2 linked regions of the Oryza sativa Japonica Group genome follow. The protein of the gene in region 1 binds, or shares a complex with, the protein of each later gene. Each region holds a gene or a part of one and is shown in the gene's direction. Other genes may lie near its edges.

Region 1 (15,193 bases):
GCCTTCATTTTTCTAGGATCTTTTATTCCTTTTGTCCCTAATTCATTCAGTTACATCTTGAGCTGCAAGACTAGGCTGTTCACTTGTTCTGAATGCTGAAATCGCCTGACAACGACAAGTTGACAGCATCGCGAGCTTATTTGGAGTACATTTGTTGAGTCTTGGACTGCACGCATACACACATGTTCTTGGATCTTGAACATGAAGAATTGAATATCGACAACGAAAGCGAGCCCAAGAAAGAAACATGAACGCTGCATCCCTTCTTTATAGAGAAGATCCGGGTACAAATCTCTTCCACCTTCCCAGTTTCTCTTGACCCTAAAAATGATGTCAAAAATCAAAGACAATAACGCAAGCCCTCATAGTTGGAGTCAGGATTTTTACAGTGATTTTTGTAGGAGTTAGAATGTTAGATCAATCAATTCCCACAGGAATCAGTAACAAATCCCAAGTTTCAAAGGCACACAATCTCTTGTGCTTTTGCAAAAACTATCTAAAGACTATAACATAGTTGAGAAATCATTCATGTAAGTGACAATGTTGTGATTTGGATAGGCCATGACAATGAATCCTGAGGACAGGAAGAGTCTTACAAAGCTACTCAACAAAAACATCATGTACCTTGCGCGGTTTGATAGCTAGTTCATTGTCTTCCATGAGAATAGCCTTGAAACCCAATGGTTCTAGAACCTTCTGATAGCTGTGGTTGCGGAAAGGACAACGCAAGAGTACTGGGTAAGATTTTTGCACAACACAAAGTTGCATCACAAAGACAGAAAAACGGAAGGTTCTCAGATAAAGCCTATGTCTGCCCTGGGGGCGAGGGAACAAATGACTTACTCGGTGACTGTATTATTGAATGGTGGTCCTCCTTCTTGGTCACTGATCTGTAATAAGAGATTCTCTTTACGGCGAACAAAACAGTTTTATTAAATCAAAAGAAGTGAATTGCTAGCTCCTAACTAATTTTACACCCACTTGACAGATGGTGCATGCTAGGGTAACGAGCTGAAATTAGTTCTGTTTATTGTTTTAGAGAACTGCCTCAATATGGATGAAGCAAAATATATTGGAATGATGTCAAAAGAAGTTTTAGCAGGTCCGTTTGTAATATCACCAGAGTATGCACAAATAGCTTCAGCTAATTGCTCAAAACCAATTTCCTACTTTTCAGGTGCATCCTAATATCTGTAGATGCATGATTTAGAAATGACTAAATAAGAAATCGGCCGCCAGAAGTTGGCTGCTTGTTGAAAGCTCTCGAGTTAGGAAAACTAGAGGCAATACCTCATTGATTTACACCAAGCTATGAAAACCAATTTAATCAATTTCCCCATTGCCCATTTATGTATATGCTATCATAAATAGCAGCCAAAGAGTAGAAAATAACTCACTATGTTGATCCTCAAAACTTTTGTCAATCTAACAGAACATGATAAACATTGCTAGCTCCTTGCATAACAGTCCATAAGACAACTTGTATAGTTAACCCTACCTAAATTCTATTTTCTGTCTTCAGAAATAGCGAGTGCATACGAGGCTATGTCTTCAGAAGGATAGGCTATGAATACAAGCCTCAGACCTCAGCACAATATGATATGATTAGTACCATGACATCCTCAATGGAAAAGTAAACAAAAGAATAGATAGATTCTTCAGTTACCAAATATATAAGGGTGATTAGCTCTCCATGAGGTTTTAGAAGCCCACTAACTGTTTCTGCCCAAGCCAACCTCAAGCTTGGATCAAGTGCACAAAAGAACCTGTGTATATTAATAAAGGTCATTTAAGATGCCACAAGAATACGAAATCAACAGGATAAAATTAGCACATACGTATAATCGAAAATAAGATCAAATTGTTCACTTGGTTTCCACTTGAAGAAATCGTCAGCCAGAAAAGTAAAACAGTCTGCATTTGGCAAAGATGATGACCACTGGTATACCAACGGATAAAAGGATTAGATACTTCTATATAAATTTTAGAGCAACGGGTCTAACCAAAAACTATATTACCATTTATGTACTGAAATGTTCTTAAAAGTTCCCTATTAATGAAATAGGCAATCCTCCTGCCTAACTTTCAAAAAAAAAGGGGGGGGGTTCAAAGTGAAGTATCTGTGAAGTTCTAGGTGTGAAACCATGTGTGGTTATAGTTCTTTTGTGATGGGAAATTGACAAGTACCGGATGTGCAAGAAGTGTGTGTGTGGACTAACGTTGGTCAGGTTGCGACATCTGTGCCAAGACAACGGTTGTTTGGTTCATGTGTGTGCAGGTGATCGGGGTCGATCTTGGTCAACGGCGGATCGGGACTAGACTCAGGGAGGAGTTGAGGTCCAAAGCGATCAAGGATGCCGGGTGACAAGATTGGACACAAGGTTGCACACGGTGGACGAACACCGTGTGAAAAGGTCTTTGCAACAGGCTTCACAAGGTCAAGTGTGCAAGCATCGGATTCGCGAAGAAATCAGAAGGGACTGTGCAAGTGCATTGCTGCTACAGTACTTGCTGTAGGTAGCATACATGCATGTACACGTACTGTACTTGTGCAAGGAGGAGCTTGCACTGTACTGGTTGCTACTAGCATGGCTCGGTGGAAAAGTCAAGCTAGCTAGCTGTGCATGTGCGCTGTGATTGGTTGGCAGGGAGGCCAAGCCAATCCAGCCGTTCCACGTGGCCCAAGATGGTGAATGGCTCGGCTCGGCAGGCCTGCATCGTCCAAGCAGCGACGGCCCAAGACGGCGGCCCATGGCGCATGGGCTCAGGAGGTGCAGGCAGCTTGCATGCGCAAGGACGCGCGCGGAAAAACCGTACGCGGCAACCCCCGTTTCGCGTGACTCGATCGGAGGCGGGTGCAGGAGCGCGGGACCCACACGCGATTTTGCAAGCGCGCGCGGGAGCGGCTCAGCGGGACGCGTGGCGGCTTCGGGCTGGTTGGGCGCTGGCGAGCGCGCGCTGAGGAAAAGGAGACGGAACGCGCACGACGCGGCTGGGCAACGTGGCAAGTTTGGATTCGTCAAGACGGAGAGCACGCGGATTCATCAGCAAGAAGACCATGTGAGGGTTCGGATCGATGAGGTGGCAATCATCTGGAGCTTTTCCTTTGAGTAGAAGGAACAATGGATGGACCAGATCTGTTCTGAGTTAGGGTTTCGCCCTAGGGGTATTTGAGACAATGTCTTAGGGGTCTTAGGCTATAAATAGAGAGATGGATGCAAGGGTGGAGGTTGCTCCTTTTGGTAATCATTTTGAGATGCTCGGTGAGAGAGTTTCCGTGTGAGTTTGGAGTGTGTTTGCCCGAGAGGCTTTTGTATTAGGATTAGTTTGGAGTGTGTTTGTCCGAGAGATTTTAAGTTTGTGTTAATGTTCCTCTGAAGGTGTATGTTTGCTCCTAGTTGAGCGGTTATTTTGCATCACCTATAAATGAAATGATTTGAAGGATTTCATTTTTGCCTTGTCCATTTAAATTCCGCAATTTAAATTCCGCTTGCAATTTGAACTTTGCGATGATGAGTTTTGCTCTCTCTTTCTCACCTCTCTTCTAGTTTCGGGAATTCCTTTTCTCTTCCTCCTCTAGTTTCGGGAATTCCTTTTCTCTTCTTTTTCTCTCTTCTTTTCTAGATCCGGCTTCTCTAATAGCCGCGATTCTAGTAAGGATTTTGAGAAATCCGGCTTGATGAGTATTTTCGGGGGCAAGATTTGAATTGCTATATTCACCCCCCCCCCTCTATAGCTGTTCTTGGTCTTTCACTAGGTTGCAAGCTTAATTAAGTTAACATAGCTTCTCATAAGTGATATCGAGAACTCGACTACAGCTCACCTGCTTAGCCTTCTCCACAGCTGTACTAGAAATATCCAAGCCAACAACAAATCGCTCAGGGCTTGCCAGAGCAACCACATCATATCCCTGTTACACAGAAGCGCCTCCATTGGAAAAGTTTCATGAACTGGTATTGAAAGACGCGAATATTAGGGAAGGACCTAATATCAAATAATTAAAAGGGGTGAGGCTTCGAACCCAGGTCGTCTAGCTCACCACCTTGTGGAGCTAGCCAGAAGACCCCTAGGCGTTTCTCTGAACTGGTATTGAAAGGGAACAACCGAGCAGGCAGGACCCTCGTAATATTCGATTCAAAGGATTTCCAAATCATAGGAATAGGAAAAGTAAAAGATTAGGATGCCACGTGCACTCCAATCCATAGGAATTTTTCCAAGAGATCTTACCTCATGCCAAGAATCATATGGAATAAGGTTGTAAGACTACAATACTTAGGAATTTGGTAGGATCTATCCTATGAAATGAATGATACATGGAGGAAAAAAATCCTATAGTTTCAATTCCTACAATAATCCTTGGATATCCTTTGAACCGATAATATAATTGTTCTTGTACATTGGGCAGGAACAAGAACAAGGAAAGCATCAATGATCATGCGGGGAAAAGAAAGCAGGCATAAGCATATGGCAAATGGGGTTGTTGATTCACTTGCCGTGCCGCATCCTGGAACCAGAGCTCTCCCCTTCGGGAGAGTTCCTGATTTAACGAGATGTTCGATGATAGGTGTTGGCTTCCCCAAATCCCACGGGGTTACGGCGGCCTCCCACGACTTCTCCCAGCCATCTGATTCAACAACATTCAAGAACAAGCAATTCCAAGTCAGGATGCTGTATCCACATGATAAAATGAAAGCACCCACAAGGTAGAACAATCTACTCTATAATCTCAACATCATCCTTCTCTTTCAGCGAAACCACATTATCTGTTGTTAACTTCAGCATGATTTCAGAGAGCAAACAAGCTCTCCAACTGCAGAATCTTCTCCTCAAAATTGTGGTCCTAGCTCATACAATGAGACAACCATAGTTTGAGTTCAACCAATGCTGTTTCAGCAAAGCCGCCAGGGAATCACCGGAAGAATCCCTTTCTACTGCCTCATTTTTCCTCCTCTTCAACACTAGGCCAAACAAATTTCCCCAACTACTCGCCCCCAACTCAATGATCCAATCCGCCCACACCCACCACCACCCGCACATGCGATACCATGACCCAAACCTATAAACCCCCCCCCCCCCCCCCCCTCTCCTCAATTCCAACTCCCCCAAGTCCCCAACCAACAACCACCAGAGAGAGACAGAGAGAGCGAGGGGGAGAGCCCGATCCATCCTCACCTGCCGCGTCCCCGCGCTGCACGAGCTCCCGCAGCCTCCCCACCGCCGGGTTATTGCTCGGGTCCCTTCCGCCGCCGCCGCCCACCCTCGCCGCCGACGAGCTCATCGACGCGAAGAACCCGAAGCCGAGGCGAGAGCGAGGCAGCGCGTGCATACGGCTCGTAATAATAATGATAATGACTAATTACTCCTCCGTTTCATACAGGTTCATATTATAAATGGAATGATTTTTTTAGTGAAATTTTATTAAGTTTGATCAAATTTATAGAAAAGATTTAGTAATATATAAAATATTAAATTGGTTTTATTAAATCTTATATTGAATATGTTTTAATAATGTGTTTGTTTTGGGTTAAAAACCATACTATATTTTTTATAATCTTATCAACCAACATTAACTTAGAAAAAGAGTCAAATACTCCCTTCGTTTAAAGTCAAACAACTTAAAGTTTAACCAAGTTTATAGAAAAAAATAGTAACATATTTAACCCAAGACAATTTATTATGAAAATATATTCAATTATTGATTTGGCTAAACTAATTTAGTATTATAAATATTACTATATTTGTCTATAAATATAGTCAAACTTTTGTAACCTGAAATAACCTGTACTCCCTCCGTCTCATTTCAAGTGCAGCCATGGTTTTCCGAGCCCAGCTTTGATTTCGTTTTATTTAAAAAAATTTAAAATCATAAGTCACGAGTAAAGTACTATTCATGTTTTATCATCTCATAATAATAAAAATATTAATTATAAAAAAAAATAAATAACACGAACGATCAAATTGAGCGTGGAAAGTTGCACTTAAAATGGAACGGATGGAGTATTGTGAAACGGAGGGTACTGTTAAAAAAGGAAAAGGTGAGGGTGTAATTATAAAAGTGGAAACGAAACGAGACGAAATAATTTAATCCGAAGGGGATAAGAGGATAAAATTATCAAAAAAATAAAAAGAAGGAAAAAAAAAAGGGAGAGCTGTCGAGTATATCACTTCGCTGTGTGGCTTCTCGTCCCCACTCGCTTCACCCCAAATCCCTCAACGGCAGCAAGAGAGAGAAAGAAGAGAGAGAGAGAGAGAGAGAGAGAGGAGTAGACGTCGCCCATGGCGGAAGAGGAGGAGGTGGAGGAGGGGAGGTCCTCGTCGTCGGCGATACTGGACCTGCCGGAGCCGCTGCTGCTGCACATCCTGAGCTTCCTGACGGACGTGAGGTCTCGGCACAGGGCGGCGCTGGCGTGCGGGAGGATGCGGGCGGCGGAGCGGGCGACGAGGTCGGAGCTCTCGCTGAGGGGCGACCCGAGGTCGCCGGGGTTCCTGTTCCTCTCGCACGCGTTCCGCTTCCCGGCGCTGGAACACCTCGACCTCTCGCTCGTCTCGCCGTGGGGGCATCCGCTTCTCTCCTCCGTGCCGCCCTGCGGCGGCGGCGGCGGCGGCGCGCCCTCGGCGTCGTCGTCGTCGGGGATGAACGTGTACCACCCCGAGGCGATCTCCGAGCAGAACGCCTTCATCGCCGCCCGCCTCGCGGGCTGCTTCCCGGCGGTGACCTCGCTCGCCGTCTACTGCCGCGACCCCACCACGCTCGCCAACCTCACCCCGCACTGGCAGGCCTCCCTCCGCCGCGTCAAGCTCGTGCGCTGGCACCAGCGCCCGCCCACCCTCCCCGACGGCGCGGATCTCGAGCCGCTGCTGGAGACCTGCGCCGCGCTCCGGGAGCTCGACCTGTCGGAGTTCTACTGCTGGACCGAGGACGTCGTGAGGGCGCTCACCACGCACCCTTCCGCCACCGCGGCGCTCACCCACCTCGACCTCGGCCTCGCCGCCGCCACCGACGGCTTCAAATCCTCCGAGCTTGGGCCAATCGCGGCCTCCTGCCCCAACCTCCGCAAGCTCGTGGCGCCATGCTTGTTCAACCCACGGTTCAGCGATTGCGTCGGCGACGACGCGCTGCTCTCGCTGGCCACCAGCTGCCCGCGGCTGACCGTCTTGCGGCTCAGCGAGCCGTTCGAGGCTGCGGCCAACATCCAGAGGGAGGAGGCGGCCATCACCGTTGCGGGGCTAGTCGCCTTCTTCGCGGCGCTCCCCGCGCTGGAGGATTTCACCATGGATCTCCAGCACAATGTGCTGGAGGCCGCGCCCGCGATGGAGGCGCTTGCCCGAAGGTGCCCGCGGATCAAGTTCTTGACCCTGGGTTCCTTCCAGGGGCTGTGTAAGGCCTCTTGGTTGCATCTTGATGGTGTTGCGGTGTGCGGTGGGCTGGAGTCACTTTACATGAAGAATTGCCAGGATCTCACGGATGCCAGCCTTGCGGCAATTGGCCGTGGGTGCCGGAGGCTTGCTAAGTTCGGCATCCATGGCTGTGACCTTGTCACTTCGGCTGGGATCAGGAGGCTTGCATTCACGCTTCGGCCTACTCTCAAGGAAGTCACTGTCTTGCACTGCCGGCTTCTGCACACTGCAGAATGTCTCACTGCTCTAAGTCCGATCCGTGATCGCATTGAAAGTCTTGAGATCAACTGTGTCTGGAACACAACCGAACAACCCTGCAGTGTTGCAAATGGCACCACCACCGAATGCGATCCTGAGGATGATGAGCTTGGTGAAGTGTACGAGTCTGCAGCCAAGAAATGTAGGTACATGGAATTTGATGATCTTGGAAGCTGGGAGATGCTCAGGTCACTCTCCCTATGGTTCTCTGCTGGCCAGCTTCTCTCTCCGCTCATTTCTGCTGGTCTCGATAGCTGTCCCGTGCTTGAGGAGATCTCAATTAAGGTGGAGGGTGATTGCCGGACATGCCCACGACCTGCTCCAAGAACAATTTTTGGCTTAAGTGATCTTGCAGGCTTCCCAGTATTAGCCAAGATGAAATTGGACCTCAGTGAAGCTGTGGGTTATGCACTTACTGCACCAACAGGGCAGATGGATCTTTCACTATGGGAGCGATTTTATTTGCATGGTATCGAATCACTGCAGACTTTGTATGAATTGGACTACTGGCCGCCCCAAGACAAGGATGTGCACCACCGGAGCCTGACATTGCCAGCCGTGGGATTGATCCAACGCTGCGTTGGACTCAGGAAGCTTTTCATCCATGGCACCACACATGAGCACTTCATGACCTTCTTCCTTTCAATTCCAAACTTGCGGGACATGCAGTTGCGGGAGGACTATTATCCAGCCCCAGAGAATGATCTGATGTTCACAGAGATGCGGGCTGAATCTTGGCTTAGGTTTGAGGTGCAACTGAACAGCCGGCAAATTGATGATTAGTTATGTGGGCACAAAATGGTTTGAAGCTGAATACAGAGATTTATCTGGATGGTGCCATTGCTCCACTGTGCAATGGCAGGGGATTCCTGGTGAGTTGGTTATGATTATGGGTGGAGTCGTGTGTATTGCTGCAGTGCCATTGAGGAGAGTAGTATACTGGCAGCACTTGGATCTGTCAGCAAAGTAACCTTCTCCAGTTGCTTTTTTACCCCCTTTTTGATGTAATAAGAGAGTTGGGTCGGAAATGAGATATTTGCAGGAGATAAGATTATAAATTAGGCTTCATGGAAAATTTTCCAAGAAAAAAAAACATTTTGTTTTTAAGATGGTCTGAGTTGTGAACACCGGCAAGAGTAATTGGCAAATTGGCATGGTTCTAGCGGTTTGTAACATTTGAACTCTGTAAACAAAAGAAAAACGCCACTCGCTTTTCTTATGCCCTTTGCTTCATGGGTGAAAGTGGCTCATCTAATATTGGTCAGTGTTTTACTGTTTTCAATGGATGGGCAACGGAGTTCAGTACTACTGCGATAGGAAACTATTTTGATGTGTACATAACAGCTCTATTAATCCAAAATTATGTGCCTTTGCTCTTTGAGTTTATTTCTGTCCCTTTCCTTTTCCATTTCATGCACAGGCTTGGTGACAAATGGGATGGCGTGTGCAGATGTGCAAGCCAGTTTTGCATGTCATTATCGGGCATGTTGAGTTGCAACACCGGCTACAACAAGGTTTACTTTAATACACAGCAGTAAGGATTTAATCTGATAGAATGTTGAAAGGTTTTCTCTTTTTTATGCAGGATTGAAAGCTGCTTTAGTTTCCAAGGAACAACCAATCAGTTCCATCAGAACTGACTACCACCATTTGCTGATTCGTTCTCTGCAGTGATCCCCAATGGAGACCTGGCCTTTGCTTCATCTCATCCTCAAACTGTAGCATGACAAGAAAGACGTGCGGAACAAGATCAGCATCAGAACATGACAAAAAGATTTTCGCACTAGAAGCCGGTTTATCCAATTCCTCTGCTTGCCTCTTCCATTCAGCTAGTTAAGATAATGCGAGATCACTGGTTTTGTCAAAGCAAATCCAGACGATTCTTGGTGCCATGGAAAAAGAAGTCGTCCATGAGTGAGAGAGCTCTCTTGTCCTAATCCATCAGCAAGGGCAATAATGCTTTTTTGATTAAGCAGCTGGAGGCCTCACAAAATAATGCTTAAGCAAGTACTACTACAGGATTAAAAGCTGGCCTCTAGAAGGAGTAGATTAGGTAGAGGAGAAGCTTCTCCTTTCCTCTTTTGCCACGTTGAGGCTTATTGCTCACATGATTGTCAATCAACCACGTCACACAAGCACATACACACACTTATTATTTGCTCATAGTTTTAGTTATTTATCAACATTTGGCAGATATGTGTTGGAAATTCAGATGCTCCTTGATGCCATTTTATCTTGCTGGTACATCTGCATAACTCGCTCATTACTATCTGTTGCAATATTATTATACATTTGGATATTTAATGTGCTGATCGCTTCTTGCTACCTATCTAATTTCAGAATGTCTTGAAAGCAAAGCTGGTGACAGGAGAGATGTCATATGAGCAGGCAGTCAGTTGCAGCCTTGTGGTTGCACCTCCCTTTCCTGCTGTCCTCTTTTTTTTGTTTTCCCTGGTTTCTCTTCATCAGAATTAAAGCAGATATTTTTGTGGCGGCCGTGGATTTCCATTCATCTGATGATCAGCTAGTAATATTCTGCAAGTGCCTTCCGATAGAATTGAGCGATGATTCTGAGGTCAGATACTCATCAGATGCTCGAAGGATAAGTGGGTTTCAGACGATGCTGCAAAAGATATTAGCCGGCGAGTGAGGTGAGGCTACTAGCCTACTAGGCTTATCGCCTTGTATAAAACTAAAGGAGTCAGTACAGAGACATCAGGTAAAGTCAGCATATGCAGCTATCCATCTATGCATGCATGCACCAACTGCAAAGTAAAGGTAAAAGTGAAAGCTTTGTCTTCCAGGTGTATGGAAGAAAATTATCCTTGTGATGGTTATGCAACTCACTCTTTTGTTTGCACCCAGATATGTCATATTGGCTTTTTCACCATGGTGTCAAGGTTGATGTGAATGTGAATGTGATTCTACTAATTTGAGGTCATGTAGAGTAATTAAGTAAGCAAATGGAGCCCGTCATGTCGTCATGCACTGACAAGGATATAGTCCTATGGACCTCTATTTTGATTAATTGGTGGAGAAAATTCAGAGGAAAAATATGTGTGTGCTGGAATATGTTGGTATTTTTTTTTTACAACCTTAACTTGTGATGATAATATTGTACAGTACACCAGTAGCTTTCTGCCGTGTAGATGCTGACGGCGCTAGCGATGCTAGCAAAACAACGTGCGTGAGGAGTGGTTTTCACAATCGATCCTTTTACAAACATATGTTACAATTACTTTCGTGAGACACGTGTAAACACAAAACATATATATCTCGAGAGATTAATTTATTATCAATATATTATTCATGAGGTTGACGAAATTACTATAGATATCTTGTTAAGCTTGTATCTTCCATTATATTTTGTTAAGCATGTATCTTTCACTAAAGAATATGAAGAATACGAGGCATGTTGTATCATAAAGGAATCTAACAAAATTATATCATTATGTTTGATAGAACTTTTTTTCCAAAAATAGGCCCTAAACATATAGCGATGATATTTAACTCGGTGTATATAAATAAAGTACAACACTATATGATTAGGTGTTGTGCAACCTACTGCGTAGGATATGCTTTGTGAAAAGTAAGTAGCTTTACGGACCATCCTACGTGATTTATACAGTATCAAATCCTGTGACACCGTACCATAATAATCCATAAACACATTGTATGCTTAAATGTCACGACGCCAGTCCTGTTTAGCTCACACCAAACTTCCCCAAAACTTCCAATTTTTCATCACATCACATCACATCCAAAACTTTCCACTCACATAAACTCGTAACTTTTTTTTCAAACTACAAACTTTTCTCAAACTTCTCCCCAATTTCAGAAACTAAACACAGCCGAAGAAAGTTTTTGCGAGGGTTTTAGTTATAAAAATTGCTTTTTAAAAGGGGTAATTCGAGAAAATGCGCCACGTGGGTAGACTACTAATTATAATCGATAACACTATGGCATGTAAGTAAGACCACGTGTATAGGTAATTAAGTACACGCCTTAATTGATTATTACGAAGGTTGATTCCCTCTGCAGCAAGGTCACGCAAGTACACGTGACACGTCTTGTTTAAGGGAAGAAATTGGAAGCATCGCTTGTGATCTTGCAGCATGCTAGCTTAATTAATCCATCGACTGAAATAGTTAAAAAAAATCTTCTCGTGCTTAATTTTATATTAAGAGATGAAATTAAGGGCGATTTATTAAATGCCACTGAAAATTCAACAGTTTTTAAGAGAGAAAAAAAACCACATTTATTCCTCAAAAACTATTTATTTGGTTTGCTTCTCGTGGCCCCATCTCTGTCCATGGCGACCTCAAAGTCGCGCTTGCTTGTATGGAGCAGCGCGCGGACCACCTCACCGCCGCGTCCAAGCCCGAGGGTGGCGACGAGAGGCTTAGCACATCCGCCCCCGCCGCCCCGAGGCAACGGATAGTCACATGCGACGAGGTCCCGGTCAAGGAGGTTGCCCTGGGCGACAGCCCGTCCAAGACCACACGGATCGGTGGTCTTCTGGACGGCAAATAGGAAGACGCACTCGTCTCTTTCCTGCGGGCAAACGCTGACGTCTTCGCATGGAGACCGGCGGATATGCCCGGGGTCCCCAGGGAGGTGATTGAGCACCGTCTTGCCGTGCGATCGGGCGCAAGGCCGGTCCGGCAGAAAGTACGGCGGCAGGCCCCGGAACGTCAAGCCTTCATCCGCGAGGAGGTGGCGCGACTTTTGGAGGCCGGATTCATCCGCGAGGTCATCCATCCGGAGTGGCTGGCGAACCCAGTGGTCGTTCCCAAGGCGAACGGCAAGCTTCGGATGTGCATCGACTACACCGACCTTAACAAGGCATGTCCTAAGGACCCTTACCCCCTGCCTCGCATAGATCAGATTGTCGACTCCACAGCGGGGTGCGACCTTTTGTGTTTTCTAGATGCATACTCTGGTTACCATCAGATTCGCATGGCTAGGGAGGATGAGGAAAAAACTGCATTCATTACCCCCATATGAACTTATTGTTATACGACAATGCCCTTCGGGTTAAAGAATGCAGGTCCTACTTTTCAACGTACTACTCGAATTTCTTTGGGTAGCCAAATAGGACGTAATGTTGAGGCTTATGTTGATGACTTGGTTGTAAAGACGCGCAACCAAGAGACCTTACTCTCGGATCTAGCGGAAACTTTTGAGAGTCTCCGCTCCGCCCGCATAAAACTGAACCCCGATAAGTGCGTGTTCGGTGTACCTGCGGGCAAGCTTCTCGGGTTCTTGGTCTCTGCCCGAGGCATCGAGGCCAACCCCGAGAAGATACGAGCTATAGAGCAGATGCGCCCCCCCAGCAAGCTTAGGGATGTGCAATGCGTCACCGGTTGCATGGCCGCCCTAAGTCGGTTCATATCGAGGCTGGGAGAGAAGACGCTACCCTTATTTAAGCTCCTCAAACGCTCCGGGCCGTTTACTTGGACGGAGGAAGCTGAACGTGCCCTCACTCAGTTGAAGGCGTATCTCAGCTCTCCCCCAGTTCTGGTCGCCCCGGAGCCAAATGAACCCTTGCTACTCTACTTAGCGGCGACCCCGCAAGTGGTTAGTGCGGCGTTGGTTGTGGAGCGCGATGAGGACAATCCTCATTCCGCGCACCCCCACCCTGTGCTGGTTTGGCCCGGGAGAGAGCAGGGAGGAGAGGCCCCCGACGACCGGAGCAGGCCCTCTGCCCGCTTGTCAGACGGTGCCAGGTGCCCCCGACCCCCAGGATGGCCCGAGGGCCACTGCGGGAAGGCCGCACCTATCGCCCTCTGACCCCGAGGCTAACCCTGTGCCGACTCGACCCGGGAGACAGCAGGGAGAAGAGGCCCCCGAGCCGAACGGTGGCCTAAGGCCCCTGACGGCCGGAGTTGGCCCTTTGCCCGCTTGTCCAACGACGCCAGGAGCCCCCGACCCCCAGGACGGCCCCGAGGCCACTGTGGGAAGGCCGCCCCTGCCGTCCTCCGACCCCGAGGTCGTCGGCACAGAAGACGAGTGCACCCCGCAAGGCCGCTTGGACAAAGAGCGCCCCAGGGATGTGGCCCCTAGCGAAGAGGATCGGCCCCACCGAAAGGTGCAGCGGCCCGTCTACTTTGTTAGTGAGGCCCTCCAGGACGCCAAGACCCGATACCCTCAGGCCCAGAAGATGCTTTACGCTATTCTGATGGCTTCGAGGAAACTGCGCCATTATTTCCAGGCGCATCGGGTCACGGTGGTTACGTCTTACCCCCTCGGCCAAATCTTGCATAATCGAGAGGGTACTGGACGGGTGGTGAAATGGGCAATCGAACTTTCTGAGTTTGATTTGCACTTTGAACCACGCCACGCTATCAAGAGCCAGGCCCTCGCCGATTTTGTGGCAGAGTGGACCCCAGCACCCGAGCCCGTCTCAGTCCCCGAGGCCAGCTCGGGCCCCTCGCAGCTGCCTCACACCGCCCACTGGGTGATGCAGTTCGACGGCTCCCTGTCTCTTCAAGGCGCCGGTGCGGGGGTCACGTTGACCTCGCCGAGCGGAGACGTCCTCAGATATTTGGTTCGCCTTGACTTTCGGGCGACCAATAATATGGCAGAGTACGAGGGACTCCTTGCGGGACTCAGGGTGGCAGCTGGACTGGGAATCCGCCGCCTCCTGGTGTTAGGCGACTCCCAGCTGGTCGTTAACCAGGTATGTAAGGAGTACCGGTGCTCTGACCCGCAGATGGACGCTTACGTGCGCCAAGTACGGCGTATGGAGCGCCATTTTGACGGGATAGAGCTTCGGCACGTGCCCAGACGGGATAACACGATTGCCGACGAACTCTCACGGCTCGCTTCCTCGCGAGCCCAGACCCCACCGGGCGCCTTTGAAGAAAGGCTTGCCCAGCCGTCGGCGCGACCCGACCCCTTAGGGGAGACGGATGCGCCTGACAGGCCCCCGAGGCCCGTCGGAGTCCAGGCCTCGGGACCCGAGGGGAGCGCTCCCAGCTCCCTTAGATTGATTGCTTGGATCGCTGAGATCCAAGCATACCTCACAGATAAGACTCTACCCGAGGACCGCGAAGGGAGTGAACGCGTCCAGCGCATCTCCAAACGCTACGTGCTGGTAGAAGGGACCCTCTATCGGCGCGCGGCTAACGGAATCCTCCTGAAGTGCATTCCTCGGGAACAAGGCGTCGAGCTTCTTGCCGATATCCATGAAGGCGAATGCGGAGCCCACTCCGCCTCGCGCACCTTGGTTGGCAAAGCCTTTCGACAAGGTTTCTATTGGCCGACAGCTCTCAATGATGCGGTCGACCTGGTCCGGCGATGCAGAGCGTGTCAATTCCACGCCAAGCAAATCCATCAGTCGGCCCAGGCCCTGCAGATCATACCACTTTCATGGCCATTTGCTGTCTGGGGGCTCGATATCCTGGGACCGTTTAGGCGGGCCCCGGGCGGGTTTGAGTATCTGTATGTCGCGATCGACAAGTTCACTAAGTGGCCCGAGGCTTATCCGGTCGTCAAGATCGATAAGCACTCCGCACTTAAATTCATTAAGGGC
Region 2 (14,348 bases), on another chromosome or scaffold:
AAATATTAATTAAAAAAATTTAAATAAAATGGACGATCAAAGTTGAACCCAGAAACTTATGGGTACGCTTAAAATGGGATGGAGGGAGTACTAAATCAAATCTTCTTAAGTTTAAAAAAGCAACATTTTTAACTTGGAATAAACTTGTAAATATACTATAAAAACATATCGAACGATGAATTTAATGAAACTACTAAATGTTTTCATCTGTTTTTGATTAAGATATAGATTTTACCTCAATTTTCGTTAGCACGCTTTTCAAACTATTAATCGTTGAATTTCGTCCGAAAACTTTCGATATAAAAGTTGCTTTAAAATACCAGATGAATCTATTTTCAAGTTTTAAATAATAAAAATTAAATTAATTATACGCTAATGGTTTTCTTGTTTTACATCCGTGTACTTAAGTTTTATCTACATCACTACCAAAACATTACCTTAAACTTGTTATAAATGTTGCTATATTTTTCTATAAATTTGGTCAAACTTGATAAGGTTTGACCTATGATAAACTTAAATTAACTTATAATATAAAACGGAGGGAGTCCCAAACCACTACTCACTAAAGTATAACTACTTTCAACAGTATAAATTCTATCTAAAATATAACTACTTCTCTACCTACTCCATATCTTAACTAATCATACATTTAACTTTCTTCACTTAATTCTAATCTCTCATCATTTACTCTACAAGCTGATCAGCCATAAAAAATAAATGAAGCAATTAAAATTGATCTATGGATAAAACTTGTATATCTTTGTTCTTAGTGCTTTTAAAAGTCGATCCTGAAAATTAAACTACGATGCAAACAATCTCAAAATCAATTCTAAAATTAAATTTTAAATTTTAGCTATTATTAATAAACCAACAAGCAAAACAATTTGTTTACTTATTTTCTCCACTTATTTATTTTTTTAAAAAATATATAACCATTCCTCATTCGATTTCACAATTATCCATGGTCTCCGTGAAAAATTCTAAAGTGATTACATGTTGGGAAGGAAGTAAAGAATTGATCTACGAATCATATTTTTTTTAGATAATAGAATGAAATAGCATCCCGGTCTTTACTCAAAAGAGCTACAGCCAATTATTACAAAATAGCACTCTGTAAGAGTAAAATCCAAATAGAAGCAAACACACCAACCAAACTAGACAAAATAACATTATTCTAGTCTATTGGTAAATCTCCATTCATGATTGGCAAACAGTTGTATAATCTTCGTTTCAAGCTTACGACATGCAACAATTAAGAAATCTGTATTTTCATCACACTTTTGTAACTGTGACAACAGATGAAGCCAATATGTTGCCTTGAAAATGACCTGCATATAAGTAACAGTAAGTGATTTATCAAAAACCCTATCATTTCTACTCAGCCACAGAGCCCAACACAAGGCAGAAGCTCCAACAAGTATCAGTTTGCTCTTTTTGTTTATGACTCCCTGAAGCCAATCATCAAAAATATGAGATATGCTAGTAGGAATATATAAACCAAAAGAAAACTAAACTGCTCTCCAAATAAACTTTGCAAAATGACAATCAATGAACAAATGTTGGATAGACTCATTTTTCGTACAAAAGCAACATCTTAAATTACCATTCCAATTCCGTCTTGCTAAATTATCCTTGGTTAACACAACTCCCTTAAGCAAATACCACATAAAGATCTTGATCTTAAGCGGCATCTTGAGTTTCCAAATTAACTTATTTCTGTCAATGTAACCATTATTAATTAAAGCTAAGTACATTGATCTAACTGAGAATTGGTCATTCTGATGATAGTTCCATCTAAAACAATCAGAAGTATTATTCAATTGAATATGAACAATAGATGCACACAATTCATGCCAAAGTGTTAAATTCTGACCAACTAAAGCTCTCCTAAAAGAAACATTGAGCGGAACAGAAGCCATCACACTAGCAACAGAAGAACTTCTCCTTCTGACAATAGCATATAAAGATGGATACTTTTCTCTAAAGGCCATATTTCCTAGCCATCTATCTTCCCAAAATCTTATTTGTTCCCCATTATTCACAATCCAAGAACCCATAGTTAAGAAAGTGTTTTTGACATTCATGAGTCCTGACCAAAAATGGGAGTCACCTTGTTTCCTGTCAACTTGGGTTATAGACTTATTATAAAGATACTTTCTCTTCAATAGGTCTTGCCAAACACCATTTTCATTTATTAACTTGAACAACCATTTACTCAAAAGACATCTATTTTGAATATCTAAATTATGAACCCCCAAACTCCCCTGTTCTTTGGGTTGGCAAATAATATCCCATCTAGTAAGTCTATAATTTTTCTTATGGTCATCTCCTTGCCAAAAGAAACGAAATATATAATAATCAATCTTTTGAAGAACCCCTTTCGGAATCTCAAAGAAAGATATCATAAACATAGCTAAACTTGAAAGGACAGAATTAATCAAAACCAGTCTACCCCCAACAGACATATGTTTTCCTTTCCGGCTGCTAAATTTTTTCTCTATTCTTTGTTCGATAACTTTCCAATCATTATTACAAAGCTTTCTAAAATGAATTGGAATACCGAGATATTTAACTGGAAAAGATCTTAACTTACAACCAAAGATATTAGAATATTGCTCATAACACTCCTTTTCCTGACCAAAGCAAAATAACTCACTTTTGTGAAAATTAATTTTCAAGCCAGATAATTTCTCAAAGATAGACATAATCAATTTTAAATTCTTTGCTTGTTGTAAATCATACTCCAGAAAAATGATGGTATCATCTGCATATTGCAAAATAGACAAACCATCATCCACTAGGTGAGGAACCACCCCATGAAGAGATCCATTATCTTTAGCTCTTTTAATTAGTAAAGCTAGCATATCAGCAACTAAATTAAAGAGAATTGGAGATAGAGGATCCCCTTGTCTAAGACCTTTATGCGTTTGAAAATTATTACCAGTTTGATCATTAACTTTAATACCAACATGACCACCTTGAATAAAAGAGGCAATCCACTCACACCATTTAGTAGAGAAGCCTTTCATCCTCAAAGTCTGTTGTACAAATGACCATTTAACCTTATCATAAGCTTTCTCAAAATCAATCTTAAAAATTACAGCACTTTTGTTTTTACGATGTAACTCATGCAAAGTTTCATGCAAAATAACCACACCTTCCATAATATTTCTCCCAGGAATGAAAGCAGTTTGAGTAGGACTAATTGCCTTTTGGGCAACCGTCATGACTCTATTTGTGGCAACTTTGGTAAAGATCTTAAAACTAACATTAAGTAAGCAAATAGGCCTATATTGCTGGATTTTCATGGCCTCAACATACTTAGGTAAAAGAATGATCGTACCAAAATTAAGAGAGTATAAAGGCAAAGTATCATTATGAAATTCTTTAAAAAGATCTAATAAGTCACATTTTATGACATTCCAGAAAACTTGATAAAATTCAGCAGGAAATCCATCAGGACCCGGTGCTTTGTTATGTTCCATTTGGAAGATCGCCTCATTAATCTGTTTTTCAGTAAAAACATGCGTTAAAGCCTCATTCTCCAACTGAGAAACTTGAGGAATGTCAGCAAATTTATTCTCATCAAACTGAAGAGTAGAATCATTAGGAGGCCCAAATAAACCTTTATAATAAGTGGTAATATGCGATTTCAAATTCGCATCACCATTTATTAATTGGTCACCATCATGTAATTGAAAAATTCTAGTCTTCCTATGTTTTCCATTTGCAACCAAATGAAAATATTTTGTGTTAGAATCACCCTCTAAAATATCCTTAGATTTCACCCTCTGATACCATTTAACTTCCTCTTCTCTCAGAATTGTAGATAATCTATTTCTACAAAACCATCTAAAATCCAACTCCTCCTGACTCAAAAGCATAGTTTCTGCCTTTTTATCTAGCAAATCCAACTTATCTAAAATCTCCTTTTTTTTCTTTTTTGTACAAGCCACTAGTATGTTTAGACCAACCCCTAAGATGCTGTCTTAAACGACGAATTTTCGCCTGCCACCGCTCCATGGCAGAATTGCGTTCATCAACACTAGACCATATCTCCTTTACCATATCAACAAAGCCATCACGTAAAAGCCAACCAAATTCAAACTTGAAACTATGTTGAGCATTACTCAAAGAAGAAGTGTTTGTATTTAAAAGTAAAGGAGTATGATCAGAAATATCTCTATTAAGAGCCACCACAGAAGATAAAGGAAATTTATGTTCCCACTCCGTGAACATTAAAACCCTATCAAGTTTCTCATATGTTGGATTCACTAAATTGTTTGCCCAAGTAAATTTCCTACCAGACATCTGTAACTCCCGGAGACATAACCCATCAATAATAGCATTAAAAAGGAATGGCCATCTATCATCATAATTATCATTATTCTTTTCATCAGGGCTACGTACGTAGAATATTAAAATCACCACCAATAAGAATTGGTAAGGTTTCATGACTGCACATATTAACTAATTCAGCAAGGAATTGATCCTTAAATTCACTTTGTACTGGCCCATACACCAGAACTAAAGCCCACTTAAACTTATCAACTTTATTACATAAATGAAACTTAATGTAGAAATCTCCCTCATCAATCAAACCAATATCAACATTAATTAAATTGATGCCCAAAAGCAAACCACCGGACCTACCTCTATGAGGCTTGCAATGCCACAAAAATTATTTGCCAGCACACAGATTTTTAAGAACAGCCGGACTAAAATCTTTCTTAATAGTCTCTGACAAAGCAATAAAATCAAGGTGATGTTCCTTTGTTAAATCAGAAATAAACTTATGTTTTTTCGGGACCTTAAACCCATCACAATTCCAGAACAACCCTTTCATTTAAAAATATTCTTTTTTTTTCTTTCCCCTTTTAGTCTTTTTCTTACTATTAGGAGAGGTATCTAAAGAATATAAAGTGGTCTAAGAATAATTATCATCCACACCACTAAAATCCATCACCTCCTCCATTAATTCACCACACAAATGTTGAAGTAGAGAATTATCATCCACCTGATCATCCAATATCTCGCTATCAACATTTGAAGTATGTACCTGATTAACAGAAGAACTAACATATTCACTTAACATCTTTTCCTCTATACTCTTTAAATCATTTATAACATCATCTAATATGTCTACAACGTTTGCTGCAAAAATTCCCTTAACGCTGATAATCAAACGCTACATTACAGACACTAACAGCGACGTTCTTAGCTTGTCAAAACTCTCAACTACGAGTAATATTAATTGCAGTGGCATCTCTGGTTGGGATTGTGAAGTCAAAAAAAAATAAAACAAAACGATAAGAGAAAAAAAAACTTCTCCTGAGAAAAAAAAATCCAGAGAATTATAGGTGCCTCACTGCCTCTCCTTTTTATCTGCTGTGGATTGGATAATTGGACATGGAGACAAAACCCAAACACCCCCCTAAATAACTGAAGCAATCACACACCTTCTCTGCAAAAATCCCAATCTACCACCGCACCCAACGAAGCTTAAGACAGTGGAATAAAGCAGAGAGAGAAATCAAAGCAAGAAAGAGAGAGAAGAAGCGAGGCAAGAGTCAAGACCATCTCCCATGGCCAGTGGTGATAGTAGTAGTAGTAGTAGTATATAAAAGGGGAGCGCGCCACGGCTTGCCAATCCGCCGCGCTGGTGTGATGCTGCGATCGACGCATCCGCCGCCCAGTAGCCCGAGCAGCAGCAGCAGCGGCGGCGGCGGGGGCGGGGGGTCGTCGGCGTCGTCGAGCTCGGAGAAGACGATGGTGGGCGGCGGGGGAGGAGGGGGAGGAGGGAGCGGGTCGGCGGCGCCGAGCGGGGCGAAGCTGCTGCAGATCCTGAACGTGCGGGTGGTGGGGAGCGGCGAGCGGGTGGTGGTGCTGTCGCATGGCTTCGGGACGGACCAGTCGGCGTGGAGCCGCGTGCTGCCGTACCTCACCCGCGACCACCGCGTCGTGCTCTACGACCTCGTCTGCGCCGGCAGCGTCAACCCGGACCACTTCGACTTCCGCCGCTACGACAACCTCGACGCCTACGTCGACGACCTGCTCGCCATCCTCGACGCGCTCCGCATCCCGCGCTGCGCCTTCGTCGGCCACTCCGTCTCCGCCATGATCGGCATCCTCGCCTCCATCCGACGACCTGACCTCTTCGCCAAGCTTGTCCTCATCGGCGCCTCTCCCCGGTACGCTCGCTTCCACTGATGTGAATCCTTTCTCGCTCTTAAAATTGAATCTGATCGGGGGCGATCGGGGAGCACGGACATGTGTGTGCAGGTTCTTGAACGACAGCGACTACCACGGCGGGTTCGAGCTGGAGGAGATACAGCAGGTGTTCGACGCGATGGGGGCGAACTACTCGGCGTGGGCGACGGGGTACGCGCCTCTGGCGGTGGGCGCCGACGTGCCGGCGGCGGTGCAGGAGTTCAGCCGCACCCTCTTCAACATGCGCCCGGACATCTCCCTCCACGTCTGCCAGACCGTCTTCAAGACCGACCTCCGCGGCGTGCTCGGCATGGTCCGCGCCCCCTGCGTCGTCGTCCAGACCACCCGCGACGTCTCCGTCCCGGCCTCCGTCGCCGCCTACCTCAAGGCCCACCTCGGCGGCCGCACCACCGTCGAGTTCCTCCAGACCGAGGGTCACCTCCCCCACCTCAGCGCCCCCAGCCTCCTCGCCCAGGTGCTCCGCCGCGCTCTCGCCCGGTACTAATCCAACGCCCCCCGCACGCCACCGCGGCGCGCCGCGCGTGCGCGTAGCCGCAGCGACGAGTCAAAACGAAGGAGAAAAAAAAAAACCACCGCAGCTGCGGCTACGGTACGTGTGGCCCAGTAGGGGGACACGCATCCCTCTACTGTTTTTTTTTTTTTACCGCGTCGGATTTTACTGCATTTTTACCCTCCTCTTCTCAGGCCTAGAAAATATTTCGGCGCGACCTGCCAAGACCGAGAGTGTACTGTAGCATTAGTGCTCGATTTTTACCTACCTTACTCTATTGGAAAAAAAATTACATTACTGGAGTGCTTCGTGCATACAATTATTTTTCTTTGTATTTTTTCACTCGCCGATTGGTGATGGTCTGATTGATGGACGACGCCGTGGGCCTTCTCACGGCGAGTGTTCGCGACGGCGCACACGGGTTCGTTTGTTTGTTTCTTCTTCCTCCTTGTCCCGGCTTGACGTCTTGTCGTTTCATTTGTCAATATCTAGCCGCAGTAATTTTTTCTTCGTAGTACTAATATGTTCAATTAATTTAAATCGTATCATTATTTGTTATTAACAAATATATAACGATATTTACTTTGTTATATAGAGAATTTAGCAACATCATATTTAATTTATCCTATCAAAACTTAATAATGTTGTCAATTTATCAAATTTTTGATAATATAAATTTTTGAAAATGTTTATTTAGGCAGTAATTTCTACTGCTGCTGTAGAAATTACCCTTCATTTTTTGTACGGTTAAAACGTCTCAAGGAATCGTCGGTTGTGGGAGCGGTAGCAGCTAAGCGATGGCAAATCATTGTCAACGACATGCATGGCCCATCTTATCGCCATTTATATCGCCGATAAGGAGGTTGACCCTGCCATCTAACCGCAGCCTACGGCCCCCCAGAGAAATCACAAGTCGCCACGTGTACCAACCTGATTAGTCACCAGTAGCTTTGTCTGCCCCAGTTGGCCACTACTCTCTCGGTCTTAAAAAAATCCAATCTAATATAAGGACGGACATAATCTAGCACAACAAATCTAGATAGTCTTTTGCCAAGATCTAGATAGTCTTTTGCCAAGATTCGTTATGTTAGGTTACGTTACATCTCAATCCTAGCACAACAAATCTAGATAGTCTTCTGCCAAGATTCGTTATGTTAGGTTACGTTACATCTCAATCCTATGTTAGTTTTTTTTGGTACGGTCCATACGGAGGAAGTATGTTCTTGCTGAGAGATTCCTATGCTCTAACCTTACCTACACCTGCCATCTCAAAAATTTGGTAGCCTTTCACACGGATAAAACGAGATGGATAAAAAGATTGCTCTATAAAATAAGAGCGGGTACAATAATGAACGGTATTAGTTTCACGTAGGATTTTGTGATGAATTGGAGGAGAGGGGGGAAGAGAGAGCGCCCACGACTAATTTGTCGCCGCACGCGCTGCTTAAAGAAGTTGTGGGGCTCGCCTGTAGATGAAGAAGCATTCCTACATCAGCCATGGTTTGCGTTGGTGCTGCTCCTCGATACTCCATGGCTAACGCCCTTGTCCATCGTGTCCATTGGACTGTCACCCTCGGCTTGGCCGGCGCCGACTCCCGCATCTACCCTAGCCGCCATCGTCTCTCGCGTTCACCAGACAACTGAGCTCGTCTAGCCCAGCTGTCACCGTCTTTGCGTCCGCCGCACATGCACCGTTACCTTCCGCCTCCACCACACAGCCGCCTTTGTCTTGCACGACAACCACTGTCTCTTGCGTCCGCCAGACCGCCGTAGTCACCTGCATCCGCCAGATCACCGTCATCGTCCATCCTCGCTGACTGCTCAAGCCCAAAATCGTTGACGAATCGAAGGTAAGAAAAGGAGAAAGAGAATAATACAGGAAATGATGAGGTATGAGGAAGAAAAAAGATGGTGGATCCCATAAAACAATAAAATATTTATGTTATAATATTCATATTATAGGTATTAGTTACTATGCTTACTATAGATGACACGGTCAGCTAATAACATGCTATCTTAACCTTGCTCTAAGTGAGGAATATAGATCGAGACTTGTTGGGACTATAATTAAGTTAAGTGGTAATTTTTTTTATCTTATAAGTAATTGGTTGATATATTTAGAAGAATCTGCTATATTTTTGAACGGTCTCCGTTAACGATGTAAGTACCTTTAAAATTTGTACACGAAATTTATAAAGTATTCTATCTCCTTTCAACCACCTATCACTAAATTCTCGTCGAACCACAGGCTTCAGCCTTTCATCTTGTCTAATCAGAAGATGGCAACCGCACTTGAATAAGAGGCATCAAAAGTCTTTTATTTTCCTTCTTAATAATGTCATAACAATCTTAGAAATGCTCTACACACGTGGATGGACTATGGAGGGAGTAGCATTACTATCTGAATTTGATTGTCGTGTTTTTTTTTCTTTCAGACGATGTGGGCAATCTTGACACTGTTTTAGGATGCTCTACGGTGCGCGTCTGTGTGTGAGAGTGGTTGTGTGGGCTGTGGGTGGGGGCCTTGATGGGGAGCCAACGTGATGATCTGCGTGATGCCTAGCTTTTGATACGGTAGTTGTGGTGTTGTTAGCTGGCCAAACCAAAGCCTTTAAGCTTGTGGACAATAATCAATGCTGATGGATAAATAACAGTTGATCATGGAGTATTAGCATTTGGCCTATCTAGTAGTCCGCATATTCTTATCCACAAGTGATAAGTATGGATTATGTCTGCAATCAGCGTCTTGCTAGTTGCTACTATGAACGAACCAAGCCAAACTAATCCAATCGAGTTCGTGCTCCGTAATACAGTTTCAGCCAATTGTCACGTAACGCCAACTTTTGTGAGCCCCATCGAAGCCACATCAATCAGTCACACACACATGTACACACGAGCTGTGAGCACACCCTGGTTATCCATGTAGTATGATCCATGGATCATCTTGCTGGATGTGTTGCGGCAGAGAAACCAGCACAGTGATAAGCAGTGTTACAACTTTTTTTTTTTTTGCGGGGAAGCAGTGTTACAACTTGCAAGCCTGTTGCTACAGTGCACTTTCATTATTTCATATTTGTTGGATTGAAATCAAGCCTAGCTCAGCTGGGTAGTTTCGTTGACTCGTTGTGGACTTGTAACCTGACCACCGGTATGATTTAGCGATGTGTAAATGCATGGACAAGGGGGGTGGCAAAGAAACGAAGAGGATAGGTGAAAAAGGAAAGGAGAGGGATTGGGAAAGACGACACATGGCCATTTTGGATGAGACCAAGTTGCAATTTGGTGCATACACTTTCGTCTAAAAAATCAACTTCTAATCTTCTACAGACGTATATGGACAAATATTTGTTCAGATATATCTTTGTGATGATATGAAACAAAGAAGAAAGTACAAGGTAATTTTTTTCATCTCAATATATAGTAACTTAGAACCGGATGAAACTATAAATATGAATAAATCATAATTAGGAGTAGATATCAAGCCAGCTCGCCTCGATCTAGCTCGTTAGGATAACTTATCCAAACGAGTTAAAAGGTTGACTCGGTTGCCGGCTCAAGCCAGCTCGTTTAGCTTGTGAGACCGAACAAGATATCGAAATTAGGATGGAGCAAGATACAACTTTTTTTTTGAACGACTCGCACGAGACGGTGCGAAGTTCTATTGATAGAATAGGAAAAAAAATACAGGATTAAAACCTTGGTAGATCGTAACCAAGAAAAAAGGGGAAAAATACCATCACCCACACACCGACAGCGCCAACACACAGGTCCAGGAGAAGGCTGACACCGGACCGGTCGCCACTACGCCAACAACGAATCATAGACGAGATCGCCAAAAAAACACCCTTACAACCAACACAAAGCCCAACTCTATCCACGTCTTCCAGATTTAGGGAGAGAGGGTGAGAGAGAAGAACATCTGTCCCCGCCCCTAGGCTCTCCGACGTGGCAAATTTGTAGAAACTAGGACGCCGCCACAAGAGGATGAGAATCTAGAGCGTGCATGCACCAATTGTTCGAGTGGTTCGGCAAGGGGATGCCTAAACGACGTCTCCAAGGAGAGAAGCGACGAAAAGCCGCTGACGTCGTCCGTCAGGGTCTCAAAAGAGCCAAGACTGGGCTTTCACCCGGCAACCACCCTTAAGGGATGAGACAGCACGACAACGCTCTCAGGAGAGGGAATGACACCATCGTTGTCAGTCTGGCCAAGGCCGGGTTAGGTTTTCAGCCGCCGCTCACCACCTGCTCCACCACCGACCGATGCTCCACCATCACCCAACTCTGCCGACATGTCGGACCACTTCACCGGCGCCCCCCCCCCCCCCCCCCCCCCGCCGGCCAGCCTTCGTACGCCGAATACCGCGCCACACCTACCGGCAGCTCCTCGCACCATGGTCACCTCCTCCTCCGTGAGCAGGCCTTATCACGCTGCGCCGACCTCCTCCACCACCGGACGCGCCTCATCGCGCCAATCCGGCCTCCCACCACCGTTCGTGTCCCTCACGCCAAGCCGGCATCCACCATAGTCGGGCATGCTTCTCGCGCCATGCCGGTCTCCACTGCCATCAGCCGTACCTCTCTGTGCCGAGGACCAGCCTCCGACCCCTCCTCCAATCGCTGTCACGCTGGCCAGATGCGGCCGTCTGCCACGCCCCCGACTAGCCATTCGAGACCGTCGTGCCTCCTTCCATCGCAACCACGGTCGCCACCGCCGTGCCTCCTCCCACTGCAGCCACGGTCGCCACAGCAGCCGATGCTGCCGTCGGCCAGCCACCTGCTGTTGCCGCTGTTGCCACCGTCGCCACAAGCTCCGCGCCACTGTCGCCGCTGCGACGGCCTCTCCCGCCACGAGTTCACCCCGTTGACGCTGACGCTGTCGCCACGAGCTCCGCAGCACCGCCACCGCCGCAAGCTCGCCCCACACCAGATCTGCCCTCAGGAGGGCCGGATCCGTCCAGGGCGGCTCCCTAGGTTACCCAAGCGTGGTCCCGCCGGCGAGAAGCGATCCCCGCCGCCGCCATCCTTGCAGCCGCTGACAAAAGCCGGCGGCCGCTCAGGCGGCGGCGAGGCGGAGGAGAGAGGTGGGGGAGAGGGGGTGGCCGGAGCTCGCCTCCCTAGCCATCCCCGGGGAGGGCGACAGGAGAGGTGGGGTTGACGTTCCTTGATTAATTCCAAGATACATCAAATTCATAATACTATGCCATCATATATGGGGAGAGTGGGAGTAAGGTTCTCTGCTCTCTAGCCTGCTCTCTAGAGCGGGCCCCCTCTCCGTTGGGGTATCGAAGGAATCCCGATCCCTGTACGCGATAAGATGGGGCCATGCCATGAACCGGGTCGGCGTCGTGCGTGCCGCGTACGTACACATCGCCTTGGTTGTGCCTAGTTGCCCTATAGCCGCAGCTTATCCTCCCCGTCGTAGAGGCGACAACCGACGGCGAGCCATCTCTCGAGTCCGAGGCCCTTCCGCTTTTGTCGTGCCCGGCGCGACGTTCCGTGCCACATTCATCGGCCGCACGTCGCGCTACAGCGGGCGGCGCTGTGTGCCTGTGTTGGCTCGCGGCCAAAAAGCCCAAGAGAGGGGAGGCTGGGAGAGGCCCCCCATCTCCATGTCGAGTCGCCACATGCAGTGACCAGTGATACAGTCATATGTACAGTAGGGCACTATGCAAGTATGCAGGTAATGTGTTGGAGGCACACGCGCACGGGCGGCGGAGCCGGCGGGAAACACTGCAAGGTGCATGAGATTGATGTGAGAGACGGCATTTTGATCCATTGTTCGTGAATGTGGATAATTTTTACCGTAATTTTGACAATTTGACCCTTTTAAAAAACTTATTTTGAAATTGAATCATCCCAAAAACTAATTTCAAAATTAGGCCGTTTTCTCAGCGCCATATAGATTAGCGCCGAGATGTCATCCGAAGTGTCACGGATTTTACACGTCATCCGAGGTCATCGCCAAATACTCTTTGTTCAATTTACAAATATTAGTTATCTACAAGCTTCCATTGCACACACAAAGACAAGAAAGCTTGGTGAACTCTAGGTGCTAAATACTGCGAGGTAATGGGTTCGATCCTCAGCCAAGCAAGTATAAGCATCTTTTGCTGTTCTATTTAAAAATCTCACATGCTTTTCAAATTCATTTTATTTTTAAATATGGATGTTTTTTAATTTATTTTATTTTTAAATATGGAAGGAGCAAAATTATGTATGTGGTATTTATAGCTTAATAGTTGGTATAAAATTACATCTTTCATTTTTTTTCACCCTCTATTTTGCTACATAATTATGTATGCAGTATTGATCCTAAAAGGAAAAAAAAGAAAAATAAGAAGTTACGGGGTTCGAACCCTTGACCTCTTGTTATGAGAGGCAGCCCTTCACCACCAGGATAGACCTTCCATAAGGCTAGAATGTACATGCATACTATTTATACAACTATACCATGGAGGTTAGCACCAAATTCTTTAGCGCTGACATCGCATCGCATGACGTGTGATTTACGTGACACGTTGGATCGCATCTCAACGCCAAAGAAAGTGGCGCTAATACGTTGTAGCTCAGCGCCAAGTACGATGGCGCGAGAAAATGGTCTATTTTTAAAATTAGTTTTTGACACGGCTCAATATCAAAATAAGTTTTTTCAAAGGGTCAATTTATCAAAATTACGGAAATTTTTACTAGGCGTATATACTAGTGTGCTATAAGATGTAAATCATGTAATGTACTGTAGCTGCCAGTACAAGCGCTTTTTGAACACTAGCACTGAAACTCCAAAGTGATTAGCTAGCTAGTAAAGCGACTAAAGCGATGTCAGTAAGATCATTTCTTTTCTGATTAAAACGTAGTAAGGGTTGATTGTGTCCGATTGTACATCGAATTCGACGGTCTGAAGGCTGAAGCGATGCGGAAAGGCTAATCCGCGCGCTGCCGGCGCACACGCTGGCCCACAAGACCAAGACCCATGCACGCGCGCTTTTGCGCTTCTCTCTTTTTTTTAACGCCGCTGTTTCTTTTTTTTTTTCTTTTTTTTCGCCGTATGTTGTTCCTGCCGTACGGATAAAAGAAAAAAATATAATTAGTTTAGATTAGTTTCCTATTTTTACTAGTGGTTGGTTTACTAGTAATTTTTAAATTTTAACTTTAAATTTTTCAAATTTAGACATGAAAATTTTCAAATCTCGAGCTGAAAGTTTTCAAATCTCAAGGGAGAGAGGGAGGAGAAAGAAGGATAGATAGGGTCATAGGGATGACATGTGGGTCCTATAATTACTTTTTGTGTGAATGACAAATAGGGCCCATATAGTTTTTAATTCTAATGCTACCTAAGCGCCACGTCAGTACCACAAACCAAGTCAACATCGCCACATCAGCGCCACGTCAGTAAAACCGCCGTCCAAAACCAATGAGGGAGTCAAATTGCACTGGTTTGAATAGTTCGGGGAGTCGTCTTATTTGGTTTTATGGTTGAGGGTCACGGATTAGATTCGGGTCACTTTTAAGGGAGTCAAAGTGGACTTATTCCAATGCACGATGCACGAACGACTCAAGCCACCGGTTGGTTGGACCGAGCCTCGCTGCGAGGCGCTCGGGTTGGTCCCGGCACACCGTGCGGAGTGGA

The links.
Region 2: the proteins of F-box/LRR-repeat MAX2 homolog (region 1) and strigolactone esterase D14 are in contact, whole or in part, in a cryo-EM structure (PDB 8IF6), measured with the Oryza sativa proteins. Residues at the interface, in NP_001411525.1 of Oryza sativa: Gly109 (codon at 6,601), Gly110 (codon at 6,604), Ser113 (codon at 6,613), Ser115 (codon at 6,619), Ser116 (codon at 6,622), Ser118 (codon at 6,628), Tyr596 (codon at 8,062), Ala597 (codon at 8,065), Leu598 (codon at 8,068), Thr599 (codon at 8,071), Pro601 (codon at 8,077), Asp634 (codon at 8,176), Asp636 (codon at 8,182), Val637 (codon at 8,185), His666 (codon at 8,272), His668 (codon at 8,278), Leu696 (codon at 8,362), Met697 (codon at 8,365), Thr699 (codon at 8,371), Arg702 (codon at 8,380); in NP_001404251.1 of Oryza sativa: Asn61 (codon at 5,848), Arg63 (codon at 5,854), Gly66 (codon at 5,863), Ser67 (codon at 5,866), Asp81 (codon at 5,908), Ser83 (codon at 5,914), Leu89 (codon at 5,932), Arg97 (codon at 5,956), Gly107 (codon at 5,986), Ser108 (codon at 5,989), Pro111 (codon at 5,998), Ala135 (codon at 6,070), Arg137 (codon at 6,076), Pro211 (codon at 6,389), Asp217 (codon at 6,407), Pro219 (codon at 6,413), Ala220 (codon at 6,416), Val222 (codon at 6,422), Gln223 (codon at 6,425), Ser226 (codon at 6,434), Arg227 (codon at 6,437), Asn231 (codon at 6,449).

The regions. Positions count from the first base shown.
Region 1 is NC_089040.1:2,934,773-2,949,965, forward strand, and holds F-box/LRR-repeat MAX2 homolog, read left to right. Parts: upstream 1-6,266; 5' UTR 6,267-6,276; coding exon 6,277-8,439; 3' UTR 8,440-9,009; downstream 9,010-15,193. Other genes in the region: probable thiol methyltransferase 2, read right to left, coding at 268-321, 625-703, 844-890, 1,667-1,766, 1,839-1,939, 3,824-3,910, 4,494-4,624, 5,173-5,326. UniProt on the Arabidopsis thaliana protein: Component of SCF(ASK-cullin-F-box) E3 ubiquitin ligase complexes, which may mediate the ubiquitination and subsequent proteasomal degradation of target proteins. Promotes the senescence. Is necessary for responses to strigolactones and karrikins.
Region 2 is NC_089037.1:5,463,978-5,478,325, forward strand, and holds strigolactone esterase D14, read left to right. Parts: upstream 1-5,466; 5' UTR 5,467-5,667; coding exon 5,668-6,191; intron 6,192-6,282; coding exon 6,283-6,715; 3' UTR 6,716-7,023; downstream 7,024-14,348. UniProt on the Arabidopsis thaliana protein: Involved in strigolactone signaling pathway. Does not move long distances acropetally in the plant to regulate shoot branching and is rapidly degraded in the presence of strigolactones.